Linked DNA regions of Elephas maximus indicus. The protein of the gene in region 1 purifies or fractionates together with the protein of each later gene. This does not show direct contact. Links are inferred from orthologs where the notes say so. Each region holds a gene or a part of one and is shown on either strand. Other genes may lie near its edges.

Region 1 (8,202 bases):
GAGTAAAAGGCTCGCAAGGGAGAGAGGGAGAGGGGTTTCCACCTACACTAGCCTCCAGTCTCTCGCTGGACAAAGGATCCTCTAGGGCTTATAAAAGTTTTTAGATAGGAAAAACGCATTATCTTTATTCATTAGATGGGTGGAGATTTCCAGGGGAAGGGGAGGGATTATGAAAATTAAATGCATGTGCAGTTAGAATTCAAGATGGACTTCTTTGCAGAGGTTGCTGGAACCAAGATGGAGTCTGTTACAAAGGCTGCTGGGAGGTCGAACAGGACTTATTCTGGGATGTCATGCATGCGTGATGCCTCGGGATCTTGGTTCAAGGCCCGGCGAGGGGTCCCTGTTCATTTTTGTCTCATGTGGAAGGTCATTCATGGTCCATGTTGATCTTTACTACATATGCTCTGCACATGGTGAGGCCTTGAAAAACAACTCAGGAAGATTATCAGTAATTTATAGCTGGTCAAGCACACAGGGCCCTGAAATGTAGTCCCTTATCTTGTCTAAGCACCTAGTTTGTTAACTATAAGTAGTTTTCGGGTGCCAGCAGCAACAGTTATATGGTGGTTTGCACTTAGGTTTAGATTCAGAGACTATTTAATTATAGCTGGTCAAGCACACAGGGCCTTGAAATGTAGCCTTGATTTAATTCAGCCAGCAGCTCCATCTCTTGCCTGTCTCGGCAGCAGTCAAGAAATCAAAGGACATGTTGCATTGGGCAAATCTGCTCCAAAAGATCTCTTTCAGGTGTTAAAAAGCAAAGATGTCACCTTGAGGTGGTACTAAGGTGCGCCTGACCCAAGTCAGGGTATTTTCAGTTGTCTCATATGCTTGGGAAACCTGGACAATGAATAAGGAAGACTGAAGAATTGATGCCTTTGAATTATGGTGTTGGAGAAGAATATTGAATATACCATGAACTGCCAGAAGAATGAACAAATCTGTCTTGGAAGAACTACAACTAGAACGCTCTTTAGAAGCGAGGATGGTAAAACTTTGTCTCACGTACTTTGGACATGTTATCAGGAGGAACCAGTCCCTGGAGAAGGATATCATGCTTGAAACAGGGTCAGTAAAAAAGATGAACACCCTCAATGAAATGCACTGACACATGCCCACAACGATGGGCTCAAACATAGTAATGATTGTGAAGATGGTGCAGGACCAGGCAATGTTTCATTCTGTTGTACGTACGGTTGCTATGAGTCAGAACTGACTCTATGGCATGTAACAACAGCATCTGGGTGAGCAAGTGACTTTATCATGCTAAAAGTCTCATCTTCTTCATCTGCAGAGTGGGGGTAATGCTGATGATGGTTAACACTTATGTGTGATTAAATCTTCTCTACTGGACAATTAAAGAGCCCTGGTCAGAATCGACTTGATGGCAATGGGCTTGGTTTGGTTTTGGTGGCACTGTGGTTAAGAGCTCAGCTGCTAACGAAAAGGTTGGCAGTTCAAATCCACCAGCTGCTCCTCGAAATCCTATGTGGCAGTTGTACTCTGCTCCATAGGGTCACTATGAGTCAGAATTGACTCTATAGCAACAGGTTTTTTTTGTTTTGTTTTGTGGCACAACAGTTGGGTGCTTGGCTGCTAACCCAAAGGTCGATGGTTCAAACCTACACAGCGACTCCACAGGAGAAAGACCTGGCTATGAAAACCCTATGGGGCAACTGAGTCCAGCACAACTAGATGGTGCCTGGCCACCACCACTGACTGCTCTGACAAGGATCAAAATAGAGGGTCCTGGACAGAGCTGGAGAAAAATGTAGAACAGAATTCTAAATTTACAAACAAACAAACAAATCAGACTTACTAGTCTGACAGAGACTGGAGAACTCAGACAGTATGGCCCCTGGACTCCTTTTTACCTCAGTAGTGATGGCACTTCTGAGATTCATCCTCCAGCCAAAGATTAGACAGGTCCATAAAACAAAACGAGACTAAATAGGCACACTCGCCCAAAATAATATGTGTATTAATTGTTTAATGAGAAACCAATTTGCTCTGTAAACCCTCATCTAAAATACATTAAAAAAAGAAAGAAAAAAACTCCTATGGGGCAGATCTACCCTGTCACATGGGGCCACTGTGAGTTGGAATCAACTCTCCGGCACATAACTACAACAACAACAATTCAACAATTAAAATAATTTAAAAATAAAATCAATTTTGACGATTAGAAATTATCTTAAAATTTATTGTTATATGTAGGAAACCCTGGTGGCGTAGTGGTTAAGAGCTATGGCTGCTAACCAAAGGGTTGGCAGTTTGAATCCACCAGGCGCTCCTTGGAAACTCTATCGGGGTCAGTTCTACTGATAAGGTCGCTATGAGTCTGAAACGACTCAGTGGCACTGGGTTTGGTTTTGGTTTGGTATATTTACAACAACAGCAACAAAAAAAATTATTATTTTTTTAAATACCAAAGCCAAACCAAACCCAGTGCTGTGGAGTCGATTCTTACTCATAGCAGCCCTATAGGACTGAGTAGAACTGCCCCATAGGGTTTCCAAGGAGTGGCTGGTGGATTTAAACTGCTGACTTTTTGGTTGGCAGCTGAGCTCTTAACCACAGCACCACCAGGGCCCCCTTTATTTATTTATTTTGTTGTGCTTTAGGTGAAAATTTACAGCTCAAGTTAATTTCTCATTCAAAAATTTATACATTTTTTTTTTTGTGACATTGGTTGCAATCCCCACAATGTGACAGCATGTGCTTCCTTTCCTCCCCAGGTTCCCTGTGTCCATTCATCCAGTTCCTGTCCCTTCCTGCCTTCTCGTCCTGCTTTTGAACAGGAGCTGCCCATTTGGTCTCCTATACTTAATTGAATTAAGAAACCCAGTTCCTCATGTGTGTTATTCTTGTGTATGTGTAATCTTTGTCTGAAAAGTGGGCTTCAGGAATGGTTTCAGCTCTGGGTTAACAGAGCTTCCGGGGGCCATAGTTTCAGGGGTTCCTCCAGTCTCCGTCAGACCAGTAAGTTTGGTCTTTTTATGTGAATTTGAATACTGTTTTACATTTTTCTCCTGCTTTGTTTGGTACTCCTTGTTGTGATCCCTGTCAGGGTGGACGTTGGGGGTAGCTGGGCACCATCTAGTTCTTCAGGTCTTAGGTTGGTTGAGTCTCTGGTTTACACGGTCCTTTAGTCCTTAAGGATAATATTTTCCTGTGTCCTTGGTTTTCTTCCTTCTCCTTTCCTCTGGGTTAGACAGGACGAAAAGATGTATCATAGATGAGGGCCCTTTTCAAAAAATAAAAAAAAAAAAAAACCAAACCAAACCTGTTGCCTTCAAGTCGATCCCAACAAATAGCAACCCTATATTTTTAAACACAGGTATAATTCAACCCCACACACACATCCATTATAAATGTAAGGAAAAATACAAATTGAAAATAACAGGTTTCAGTTCTTTTAATGGCAGAATCTTCCTTTGACTTTCTGAAAAGTATATAAGTCAAGGATGTTTCCTCAGTGGTCTCAGAGCCATTTGATTTGAAACGTAATCATCAAGAAACCTTAGACCTTAAACCAAAAACATCCCCCGAAGACATCTTAAAACAATAGTTTATCTTAACTAGTATAAAACGTCTGCCTTGAGCATTATGCTCTTTTAAGAGGTATCTATATGGGATCAAGTTGACAACAGCAACTTGAAAAATTAGACAGGAGCCTTAGGGGGCAGTGGGTTTATGTTAATGAGAGAGGGACAACTCAGAAAAGGAGGGTGAGAATGGTTGCACAACTAAAAAGTAATTAATGTCACTAAATTGCACATGTAGAAACTGTTAAATTGGTGTTTTGTTGTGTACATTCACACACACACACACACACAAAATTTCCCATCCCTACCACCCACTTTCCTGGAAGATGAGCATAACTTTAGGTCTCCTGACATAGATACTGGAAAGTTAGCAATTTTGTCTTAAACTTGGTTGTACTGAGTTCTATCCCCTCAGCTATGTAAAAGATAGGAGCTTTGGTGGCCACAGTGGTCAAGAAGTCGGCTGCTAATCAAAAGTTTCGCAGTTGGAATCCACCAGCCACTCCTTGGAAATCCTATGGGGAAGTTCTACTCTGTCCTGTAGGCTCGCTACAGTCGGAATCGACTGGACAGCAACGGATTTTTGTTTTGTTTTATATAAAGGATAAGGTTTCTTTCTGTTCTTGCAATCTCTGTAGTGGATTCCCTGTGATGCATCACATTCTGGTTTAATGCTTATTCAATAATCAAACTTTTCTTTCTGTCGTTTTTGTGGAGAAGTTTTCTGGGTTGAGAGTAGATTCGTTTCAATTCCCTCCCCCCAGCATAATCCTTGATGATATTAAAACATAAATAGGAAGCATATATGGTTAAAAAATGAAAATCATAAAGTACAAAATGAAAAATGAAAATTTTCGAGCTTTTTTGATCTACCAAAGCAACAATTTCATTGGATCCAACCTAGTATGTGCCGGCCACCGTTTTAAAGCTTTATGTGTATTAACTCGCTTAAACTCCTGAACAACCCCATGAGGTAGGTGCAATTATAATCTCTCTTTGACAGTAATTAGTATCACTTCTAATGCGAGGCTGAGGAATCCGGCGGGACAATGTCAGCAACCAAACAGGCCTCCACAAGTGTTTTAAAAGTCGTGAAACACAGAGGTCATTGAATGTAGTTAATTGAGAGCCAAAAAGGAACATCCGCCTGGCGTCTAAAATACACCTTCTGAGGCGCCATACGCAGGGCGTGCTCTGTCAAAAATGCAGTTCCTAGCTGGACTAGGAAGGAACCCAACTCGTGCGCTCAGGAACACGCCCGGACGTGGATTCCCGGGAGAGGCGCGCCAGGCTGCGCCGCCTCAACCAGTCTTGCTAGAGTAGGCGTACACTCACGAACAAAAGCATTCGGAGTGACTGCTGCTACAGCTATTCAACGCCAAGCCCAAGCTCCCGCCTACAGCTAGAGCGGAACTTTCAATTGGTGGAGCTAATCAGAAGCAGGCGGGACGGAACAGAAAATCCCCGCCTCCCTTGGAGTTGTCAGCCAACCCCGGCTTCTGGGAGGCAGCCGCCGGGTTGCGTTGCGCCGTGTGTAGTCGTCTGAGGGGCCTGGAGGCGGGGCGGGAGTCGGTCGGGCGCAGCAGGGAGGGGACGCTTGCCGGGGGCGCGCGGAGCGGGAAGGGTGAGAGGCACGCGCGCGTGTGCGCGCCCAGCTGTAGCGCGTCTCCGCGACCCCCGTGGGCCGCTGTCGTCTTAGCCGCCCTCTTCCCCGGCGTCCCCAGCCCGACTCCCTCCAGTGCCGGGCCGCGTCCGCCCCGTCGGTCCCGGCTCGCGTACCCTCCCCGTGGCCAGCAGGGCCCGCCCCCGACGCCCCTTTTCGCTTCTGGGCAGGGTCCTTGCGGCCCATGCGGGCCGTAGGGGCCCCGCGCCGCCCAACCCGCTCCCGGACCGGCCGGCCGGCCACCATGGTGGCCTTGAGGCCTGTGCGGCTCCTCCAGGGGGGTTAACCGGTCCAGAGCGCAGGCCGCGGGGGCACAGAGGTCCCGGGCCCGAACCCCGCACCATGGCCGGGGCCATCGCTTCCCGCATGAGCTTCAGCTCTCTCAAGAGGAAGCAGCCCAAGACGTTCACCGTGCGGATTGTCACCATGGACGCCGAGATGGAGTTCAATTGCGAGGTAACCGCCGGCAACCTCGACGGGCCGCGGCGAGGGGCAGCCCGACCGAATCCCTGTTTACCCGGCCCTGTCCCGGATCCGGCACTGACCTGGGCGCCCCCGCCGTGGGGTCAGTCGAAGTGGAAGCTTGAGGGATTCTCCTTATATCATCATCTGGGTATAGATAAGAGACGGGTGGAAATGGAAGGGGTCGTCTAGGCCCAAATCCTCATGTTGAAGATAATTGCTACTTTTCTTCATAGGGCTTTTGGGTTTGGAAGCACTTCCTGAAGATTTTCATTCATTGTTACTGGAAGGGGTTGCGGGCGTCCATGGTAGAGAATTCTCGTTTTCAGTGTCAGGCTTAAGTTCTGGCTGGGTGGTGGCGTAGTGGTTAAGAGCTACGTCTGATAAGGAAAAGATCGGCAGTTCGAAATCACCAAGTGTTCCTTGGAAACTCTATGGGGCGGTTCTACTCTGCCCTATAGAGTTGCTATGAGTCTGAATAGACTTGATGGCAATGTTTGTTTGTTTTTTGGGGGTGAGTTTTTAACTTTATTAGGTAATATTGTTATGCACCCCGGGTATTAAAAGCAGCGTCTTGTATATTGAAAGTTTATACTTGTTTCCTGTTTCTGAAGCTTAAATTTTTCTGGAAAAGACTTTAAGAAAAGACATGCTGTCTTATACCTTGATGATAGCTGTCATTTGTTGAATACTTAATAAGTGCCAGACAGTCCTACATTTAATCCTTACAACAGCCCAGTGAGGTAGATACCATTATTATCATTCCCTTTCTCAAAAACTTTATATCTAGTAGATGGCAAAGTGAGGTTTTGAACCAAGCTCTTAACCCATTCAGTACTCCTTCTCAAGTAATTTAAATTCTTGCTACTCAAAAGTGTGGTCCGTGGACCAGCAGTATCAGCAGCAGTGACCTAAGTTAGGGGTTGGCAATCTTTTTCTGTAAAGGGTCAGACAGTAAATATTATTGGCTTTGCAGGCCATGGAGAGTCTTATTGCCACTACTCAGTTCTTCAACCCTACTGTTATAATGCAGAATCAGCCTTACACAGGGTCCCTAATGGCGTGACAGCATGAGGAGTTCTACTTACCTGCTCCTACTGAAACTGGTGAAAATTATAAAAACAACAGTTACCACCATTGAAAACTTCTTGAAATGGTCCTAAGGGGAAACAGGAAATGAGGAAACATCTACTCAAGAAAATCCATGAAAATTGGTAAAAAAAAAAAAAAAGAAAGTCTGTGATATTTAAATCAAGACCTCTCCCTCCCTCAGCCCTTCAGCTCAGGGAGGTGGAAGCTCCAATCCACACTGCTGCAATCAAGAACACAGGGCTCGCTCTCCCCTCAGCTTCCAGCCAGGGGACTTTCTTCCCAGGAAGAGCAGGACTTGCATGTTTATCATCTTGCACCAAGTTACCTGTTACCTGTGGGCTGGGGCAGACAAAAGGTGGGGGCTCTCTTCTTCTCCCCAGCCCTACTCATGGATGGAGGCTCTACCTTGGATATGGTGAACTGAGAACACTGGGGTGCCAACTCTCCTCGTGCCTTGGCTTGCGAAGCTATGGTTCCACACCAGGAGAGACAAACCAAGAAGACCCCAAGCTACTGCCCCCCCTCCCCAAGTGCTCAGCTCCTAGATCAGGGGTGCCACTCAGAGAGAAGCTTGCCTTGTTCCTACCCACACAGCTCCAGAGCTTGGCTCAGAGATTTTGCCAGGAGGAAGAAACAGGCCATGGAACAGATACCTCCTAATATCTTCCCAAAGAAACAGACTTCATTTGCAAAAGCTCTTGGAGAAGTTCATGGCTAAAGGTGCTCTTATGAACAGTTGGAGCTCAGGGCCATGATAAATGGACCCTGATAGCATGGGAGAAAAAATGTGAAATAGAACCTCAAATTCCTAAAAAAAAAGCCAGACCTACTGGACTGGTTGACACCAGAGGACTCCCTAAGACTGTTGCCCTGATATACTCTTCAAACCTTGAACCAAAACTAACCCCTGAGGTCACCTTGTAGCTAGATAACAAATTGGCTCAAAAGATAATATCACCCTTAAGTACTGTGATTTTTTAAAAATCACCTATTTGAGACCAAATGGTAAGCAATTACTTTAAAACAAAGATAAGAATGTAGGAGGGCAGGGAAACTAGATTAGTGGAAACAGGACAACCAGAACAGACATAATGAGAATGTTCATGCATTGTGAAAAATGTAACCAATGTTGCTGAACAACTTGTGTAGAAATTGTTGAATGGGAACCTAAACTGCTGTCCAAACCTTCACGGAAAACACCATACAATATTGTTAAAAAAAAAAAAAAAAAGGGAGGCGAAGCCAAGATAGCAGAGTAGTCAGACGCTTCTGGTGATCCCGCTTACAACAAAGACCCAAAAAAACAAGTAAAACGATTATATATATGACATGCTAGGAGCCCTGAACATCAAAGGCAAAGTTAGGAAATCGGACTGAGCAGCAGGGGGAAGGAGACACAGTTCAGAAGTGGCAAGGAGTTGCTGGTCCTGAGTT
Region 2 (7,394 bases), on another chromosome or scaffold:
CTTACTGTGCTCCACAAGACAGACACTGGACATACAATCATAAGCTTCACAAGTACACTCCCTGCTTTCCTGAAAGTTGCACCTAATGGGGAAAATTAACTGTCAAACAAGCAAATATAGTACTTTGACTCCAAGAGATGTCCTAGTAGCTACAAATGTCTAAGTATTATGCATTGTTTTGTAAATAAATAGATGGAAAATATAAATATCTGACCTATACTTCTCCTACTGTATCCAAAGCAGACATTGCTTATTGATTATGTTGCCCTTTCTATTGAGCCCCAACATCCTTTTCAACATTACTAATCAATCTGAGGTCTTGCTTGAAATGAAACACTTAGTATTCCAGCTAAGAGCTATGAATTATCTTGCTGATTCAAAAGGTAGCTGAAGGCTTCTGGGATGGCCAAGTAGAAACTTTTAGATCAAACCTCTTGTAGATACCCAGCCAAAAACCCAGTGCCGTCTAGTTGATTCTGACTTATAGCGACCCTACAGGACAGAGTAGAACTGCCCCATAGAGTTTCCAAAGAGCACCTGGTAGATTCGAACTGCTGACCCTTTGGTTAGCAGCCATAGCACTTAACCACTATGTCACCAGGGTTTCCCCTTTTGTAGGTAACAACTATAAATTCTGGATAAGATACAAAAGCAACTAGCTGAAGGCACCGGAGAGAGAACAAAATCAGACAGAAACTAGGGGAGAGTCAACTCTGCCTAACCTCTGGGTGACTCCTGATCCACGTATGCATGAGGCAGACTCTAAGCAGCCCAGCCAGGGTTAAAAGAACTGACCTGAAGTTTCAGCTGTTGCCATCAAGATAGAATTTTGCAGTCCAGCCACCTTAAAAGCCTGAATAACAAAAATTCAATACTTACCAGAAGAACAAAATACAATCCAAACTTTCTATAACATATCATTGGTAATGACCAGGATATACTTCAAAATTATTTAAAATACAATAAAACAGGAAAGCATGATACATTTTAAAAAAGAAAAGATAATCAATAGAGACCAACTCCAGTGCAGACCTAGATATCAGAATTAAAAAAAAAAAAAAAAAAGATTAGCAGGCAATAATTTTAAAGAAGCTATTATAGCCATGGAGCCCTGGTGGCACAGTGGTTAAGAGCTTGGCTGCTAATGAAAAAGTCAGCAGTTTGAACCCACCGCTCTTTCTTGGAAACCCTATGGTTTCTACTCTGTCCTGTAGGGCCTCCATGAGTCAGAATCAACTTGACAGCAATGGGTTATTATAACTATGCTCAAGTATGTAAGGAATAGGCTCATAATGAATGAAAATATAGAAAACCTTAGCAGAGAAACAGAAACTATAAAAAAGCATCAAATGAAATTTAAGAACTGAAAAATATAGTATCTGAAATTAAAAATCACTAAATGTACTTAATAGCATAAAGGAGATGGAAGAGGAAAGACTCAATGAACCAGAAGTAGATCAACAGAAATGATCCAAACTGAAGAACAGATTTTTTAAAAATTCACAGACTCAGGATCTTTGGGCAATACAAAAAGGTCTAGCATACATGTAATTGGAGTCCCAGAAAGAGAGAGAACTAATGCTTCAGAAAAGTATTTGAATAAATAATGGCTGCTAAGTTCCCAATTGTGTAAGATAAATTTGCATATACCAAAACCTTGACAAACACTAAGGATTAATATAAAAAAACAAAATTAAATAAATAAATAAAAACACCTAGACATATCCTACATAGTCAAACTGCCAAAAATCAAAGACAAAGGCAAAGAAAAAATCTTGGAAGCAGGCAAAGAAAAAAGATACTTTGCAGAGTAGGAACAATGATTTTAAATGCCACTGAAACAATGGAGGCCAGAAACAATGAAGGCCAGAACACAGTGGGTCAACATCTTCAAATGCTTAAAGAAAAAAACCTACCAACCAGAATTTTATATCCAGCAATAACATCCTTGATGAATGAAGATGAAATGAGACACCTTCAGCAGAACTAATTTGTCACGAGTAGACCTGCACTACATGAAAGACTAAAGGACATTCTTCGAAACAAAGGGAAATAAAACTAGATGGCTACTCGGTTATTCAGGAAAGCATAAAACATCTCAGATGGTAAATGGTGTAAATATAAAATACCATTTTCTTCAGCTTAATTTATTTAAACTACGTGATTGTTTAAAGAAAAAACGTGGCATTGTATTGTGGAGTTCAGAGTGTATATAAAGGAAATACCTATTACAGCTACAACATAAAGGAGGAGGTAGAGAGGGTAAATACACCAAACCAGTAGCAAGACTCCTATGTTTTACATGAAGTGGTACAATATTAACTCCCAGGAGTCTGGGAAAAGTAAAGAATATATATTTTAATCCTTAAAGCAACCACTAAAAATATAATGCAAAGATGTGTTGCTAAAAAGCCAATAACCTGATTCCGACTCATAGTGACCCTATAGGGCAGGGTGGAACTGCCCCATAGTATTTCCAAGGAGCACCTGGTGGGTTCAAACTGCTGACCTTTTGGTTAGCAGGTGTAGCACTTAACCACGGCGCCACCAGGGCTCCAAAAAGCGAATAGATAGATTAAAATGGAATTTTAAAATATGAATGCAAAAGAAAGCAAAAGGAGGAGCAGAGGAATAAAAAAAAAAAGGGGGGGAACAAAAAGAAAACAAATAGTAAAATGGCATACCTGGAAGTGGAGTGGGCTGTCTGAGGTCATTCACCCCTTAACTATCTACTGAGTGCCTACTGAACGCCAGCCTCTGTGCTAGGCTTTGACAATACTATGGTGAATGAAACAAAAATGATTCCTGCCTTCATCAGTCCTACCAGTGTCCAAACTCTGTTCCTCTTCTCCTCTTCTACTTCTATCATTATTTACACCCTGGACAGAAGACTAGCAAATTCTTTTTATAAGCCAGTCTGAAATGTCTTAAATTTCCAAGTTCAAAAACCAAACCTTTTCTAATGTTGGGCCTGAATACCTCTATCTGAACAGAAAAGGGTTTCTTCTTCTTTTAGCCTCTCTGGAGTGAAATGTGACACAAGAAAATCTGTCAAACCTCAGAACAGCTCAGCAAGAACCTGGACACATGCCTAGTGACCCAGAGTTACCTTACCCTCTCCTGAAGTAGAGTTGAGGAAGAAAGGGCAGTCAGCTGCCAAGCTGTCCACCCCACTTCTAACAGAGCTCACATCCATTGCCATTCCTTGTCCTGGCATCCCAGCCAGAAGTCCTGCCTGAAGTTTTTGCCCAAGAACCTGGCACCAAATGGGAGGTGCCTAGCACTGAAGTAACCGAGAATCTCTTGTTACAAGTCCAATTGCTCCAGCCTGACCCTCAACATACAAAAAAGCAATCCAGGCTTGGTTGACTAGTACTACAAGCTCATTGGCATCGAGTTGATTGCAACTCATAGCGACCCTATAGGACAGGGCAGAACTGCCCTATAGGGTTTCCAAGGCTGTGATCTTTACAGAAGCAGACTGCCACAGTTTTCTCCCTCAGAGCCGCTGATGGGTTTGAACTGCTGACCTTTCAGTTAGCAGCCGAGTGCTTAACCACTATACGACCTGAGCACCTTAGTACTTCATCAACAAAATGAAAATAACAAAATTTGGTTAGAATGGCTGCCACACTTCTTTTTTTCCATACAGTCGCTTGCCCCTCTGCACTAGCTTTCGCTTCAGCTTTGTATATGTGTACTTACAAATCCACCAGCTCTGAAAACCTCTTAGCAAGGTGATAATTTCCAGCTCCCTTATTGCCCTATCTGGGTTATTGCCCTTCCTCCAGACTGAAATGTCTTTGTTTCTCTCTCCCACCCCCTGCCCTCTGAGAATTTCTACCTCTCAGAAGTTTAAACCTGTTTTCCTTCCCTAGAGTACCGTTTTTTTTCAGACAGCTGAATTCTTAGAGATAATGATAAGACTCAGGGAAATAAGTGCATGGTTTCCTCCTCCCTGGCGCCGGTTAAGGCGATTGGTGCTTCGGGACGTTCTGAAGCTCTTTGAAAACAACAGGCTAGTCAGATTCCAAAGATTTACCTTCTGAAGGCTCAGCATGTCTGGGCAATGGTTGCATAATTTGGATGGAGTCATCACTGGATGGAGCAGAGTTGGCTCAGGCGGGGAGTACTCGTTGCTCTTTTTAAACTCCATGGCACCAGGGATGAAGTCACCTTTCTTCTTTTAAAACCAACTGACTTGCCCCGTGAGTCCCTGTCAATTCTGTTAGAACTTGGTGCTTTCTCCACTGCTGCACACCTAGGACCTCCTCTCAGGTAAGAAAACTCTTCTTTAGTGGGTTTCTATTAAAAAAAAAAAAAAAAAAAAATCCAGGGAAGGGGGATTTGAGGGGAACTTTGGAGGGCATTTGTTTGTAGAGGTGGGGTTAAGGTTGAAGGACACTCGATGAAATGAAAAGAATGGCTGCTTTCCAGGCAGCTGGTCTCCACCTGGTGGGTGGGGCAGCCCTGGGCTGGGTAAGCAGAAACCCCACTCAGCCCTGAGCTGAGACGGTGGACTCTCAGAGTGGTCAAGGACATCTAATCCAGGTTTGGTTTCTCTTAGTTGTTTAATGAACTGAGCACGTTGGTGAAGCAGCTGCAAGTGGTCTTCTTTGGGCTGGGGCCATTTGTACCCTCTTTTGCTTTCCTAATGTTTGGCTTTGTGTTTTGGATAGAATAACCCTCAGAAGGTTCTGATAACAGTTGATGTGCAGAAAAGCAGCGGCTCTCTGAAGAGCCCTCATTTGCTCATTAGCTGGCTTGAATGCTTCCCTTCTTCCTCAAGAGGGTAGGGGAGACAAAGGAGCCCTGGCTTCCTGTCCTGACATGCAAGTACCTTGTGTAAACAATGGCTGTGTGGCTGCAGGTGAGGCAGAAATGTACAAAAACATCTTAGTGCCTGCCCATATGAGTTCTTCTAAGAAAACGGACGTGAAATCTTGTTTTATGTGTGCACAGTCCACTGAAATCTCCCTCTGCTTTCTCTGAGTTATACAAGTCACTGTCACTGACTGAATCGTAGAGTCTTACTTTAGCTTTCAAATGCTCAGTAGAGACATTTTGGTTATGACACAGGCGCCTGCAGGGTGATGAATGGCAATTGGAGAGAGCTGAGCCCCTACGAAGTAGAAACATTTGAGAGTTGCAGATCCCCTTCCTTGATTGACACAGAGCCCTGCCACAAATAGCATTGGCTGCAGTCATCTATAACCTATGAAGGGAGCAAAGGATCTCATTTAGATAAAAGATGCTTTGTTTTCAAAAGGAGGGTGAGAATGGTTATACAACTTGAAGAATGTAATTAATGTCTGAATTCTACATGAAGAAATTACTGAATTGGTATATGTTTAGCTGTACATATTTCCAATAACTATCAGAAATAAAAATTAAAAAAAAAAAAAGATGTTTGGTTTTAAATGCAGTTGCATACTGGCTACCAGTTCTTGGTTACTCATTGACCTCAAACTCAATCATGCTCAAAATCCATACTCACCTGAAATCAGCTCCCCTTCTATGCTCCTAGCTCAGTGAAAAGCACCTGGTTGTCTGTGACAGATTTCTGGACTTCTCCTTTGACCCTTCCCTCTTCCTCACATTCCACATCTGGTTTGGCAAGTATCCAGCAGGTTCCAACTTAATATCTCTCAACTGCACCCAGCTCTCTCCACCTCCTTGGCCATTATCCTTGTTTAAGACCTTATCATCTTCTACCAGGAACACTGAAAGCTTTCATCTAGGCTTCGTCTCTCCAGTCTTACCTTCCTGGCAGCAATCAGAGTGATGGTTCCAAGATGATTGGTCAGCACCTGCACAATCCAATCAATCACTAATCTGTCGATTCTGTCTTCTTACTATGCCTCAACATTTCTGACATCTCTCTGTTCTACCTCTATTACCTTGGCTCAGCCCACAAGCACCCTTTGCCTGAGTTATTGCAGTTGCCTCCTAGCTGGTCTTCCTGCCACCAGGATCGTGCTCATCCTAGTATAAGACATCTTAAGCTTCTTGTCTTCCCAGGCTTCTGAGGGCATTTTTACAAGAACTTGGAACATGGGTTTTTGGAAGCATTTTCATTTTTATGACTCTTGTGGATTCTTCAAGGAAGTGGGGAGAGAAAAGGGGAGGAGTTAGGGGATATGTATTGCAGTGGGAAGAAAGCACGGAGAATGCAAGAAGCTCCCTTGGAGCCACACACGTTTGCATTTGAATCATAGCTGCTCCACTTCCTACTGTGGCTTTGGCCAAGTTTGTGAACCTTCTTGAGACTCATTTCCTCAACTATGAAATGGAAATAATAATACCTACTTTTTTTTTTACTTCACTGAGTAAATATAAGGGTTAATTGAACAATTATGGAAGACTCTGAACCAAGCAATTAAGAAGTTTTGGTTTCTTTTTTTCTTTCTTTCCCTTTTAAAGCTTATAATTTCTAATCACAATGTCTTGAAAGTATTTTTACATATGTGTGTGTATAATGATCTGTATTTAACATGGTGGAAAGAAGGCATGGCAAAGAAATATACGAGAACTCGCTTAAGGAACTCACCATCTACTTAAAGAGATAAATCAAACCTAAACAGCCCAAAAGCATCAATAAAACAAGCAATCTGTGATTGCCATGTATACGTTCCCAACTGAGTACATAAGCAGGAAAGGCCTGAGTAAGCAGGCATGTGAATACCTGCAGAGTGTAAATAATGCTATATCAAGCAAATTTATATTTAGGCTTCTTGGGGATTTAAAAATCCTTGGTCTCTCTGATGTTCCCAGTTTAGAGTGATTCTAGAACGTATAGATGTATGTTTAAAAGTGACCTTATTCATTCAGCAAGCATTTGTTGAGTACCTGCTCTGTGCTGGGTCTTAAAATATACACTTCTTTGTTACTCCTCCCATGGAGAGGTGAACCTGAGCTAACTTTAGGGACTTGCATGCAATGGAATGAGAAGGAAGTGATGTTTTGGGACATCCAAAGCTGGGTTCTAAGAAGTTTTGCAGCTTCCTCGTCGATTTCTTGTTTCACTCACTCTGGGGAAAGTCAACCACCATGTAAACTGGCTCTCTGGGAATAAAAAAGAGAGAGAGTGCTGAAGTATAGTGTTTGCCAATTTCCATAGTGTAAATAATCCCATCTCGGCCAGTTGCAAGCTATACCGAATGCAGAGTTGAGAAGAGGTATGCAATCAGTTCTTAAAAGGGCCACAAGCTGGTCCCAGAGCACCACTGCCAATTTTTCTGAAACTACCATGTTGAGAGACAGCCCAAGCTAGCTATGTGAAGAAAGTCCGTGGAGAAAAACCCAAACAGCCTCCAGTTGTTCCAGCCATTCAAGCTCAATCTCCAAACATGTGAGGAAAGAAGTCTTTAAATGTCTCCAAACCCAGCTAGCCA

The links.
Region 2: the proteins of NF2 (region 1) and AMOTL1 purify together in Homo sapiens (affinity purification with mass spectrometry; 6 studies listed by BioGRID and IntAct, counting the BioPlex papers as one, with this or other methods). This does not show direct contact. The link is inferred for Elephas maximus indicus from reciprocal best matches to the Homo sapiens genes NF2 and AMOTL1.

The regions. Positions count from the first base shown.
Region 1 is NC_064840.1:26,936,792-26,944,993, reverse strand, and holds the start of NF2 (merlin), read left to right. Parts: upstream 1-5,103; 5' UTR 5,104-5,556; coding exon 5,557-5,670; intron 5,671-8,202. UniProt on the Homo sapiens protein: Probable regulator of the Hippo/SWH (Sav/Wts/Hpo) signaling pathway, a signaling pathway that plays a pivotal role in tumor suppression by restricting proliferation and promoting apoptosis.
Region 2 is NC_064825.1:26,223,759-26,231,152, reverse strand, and holds the start of AMOTL1 (angiomotin-like protein 1), read left to right. Parts: upstream 1-4,194; 5' UTR 4,195-4,278; intron 4,279-7,394. UniProt on the Homo sapiens protein: Inhibits the Wnt/beta-catenin signaling pathway, probably by recruiting CTNNB1 to recycling endosomes and hence preventing its translocation to the nucleus.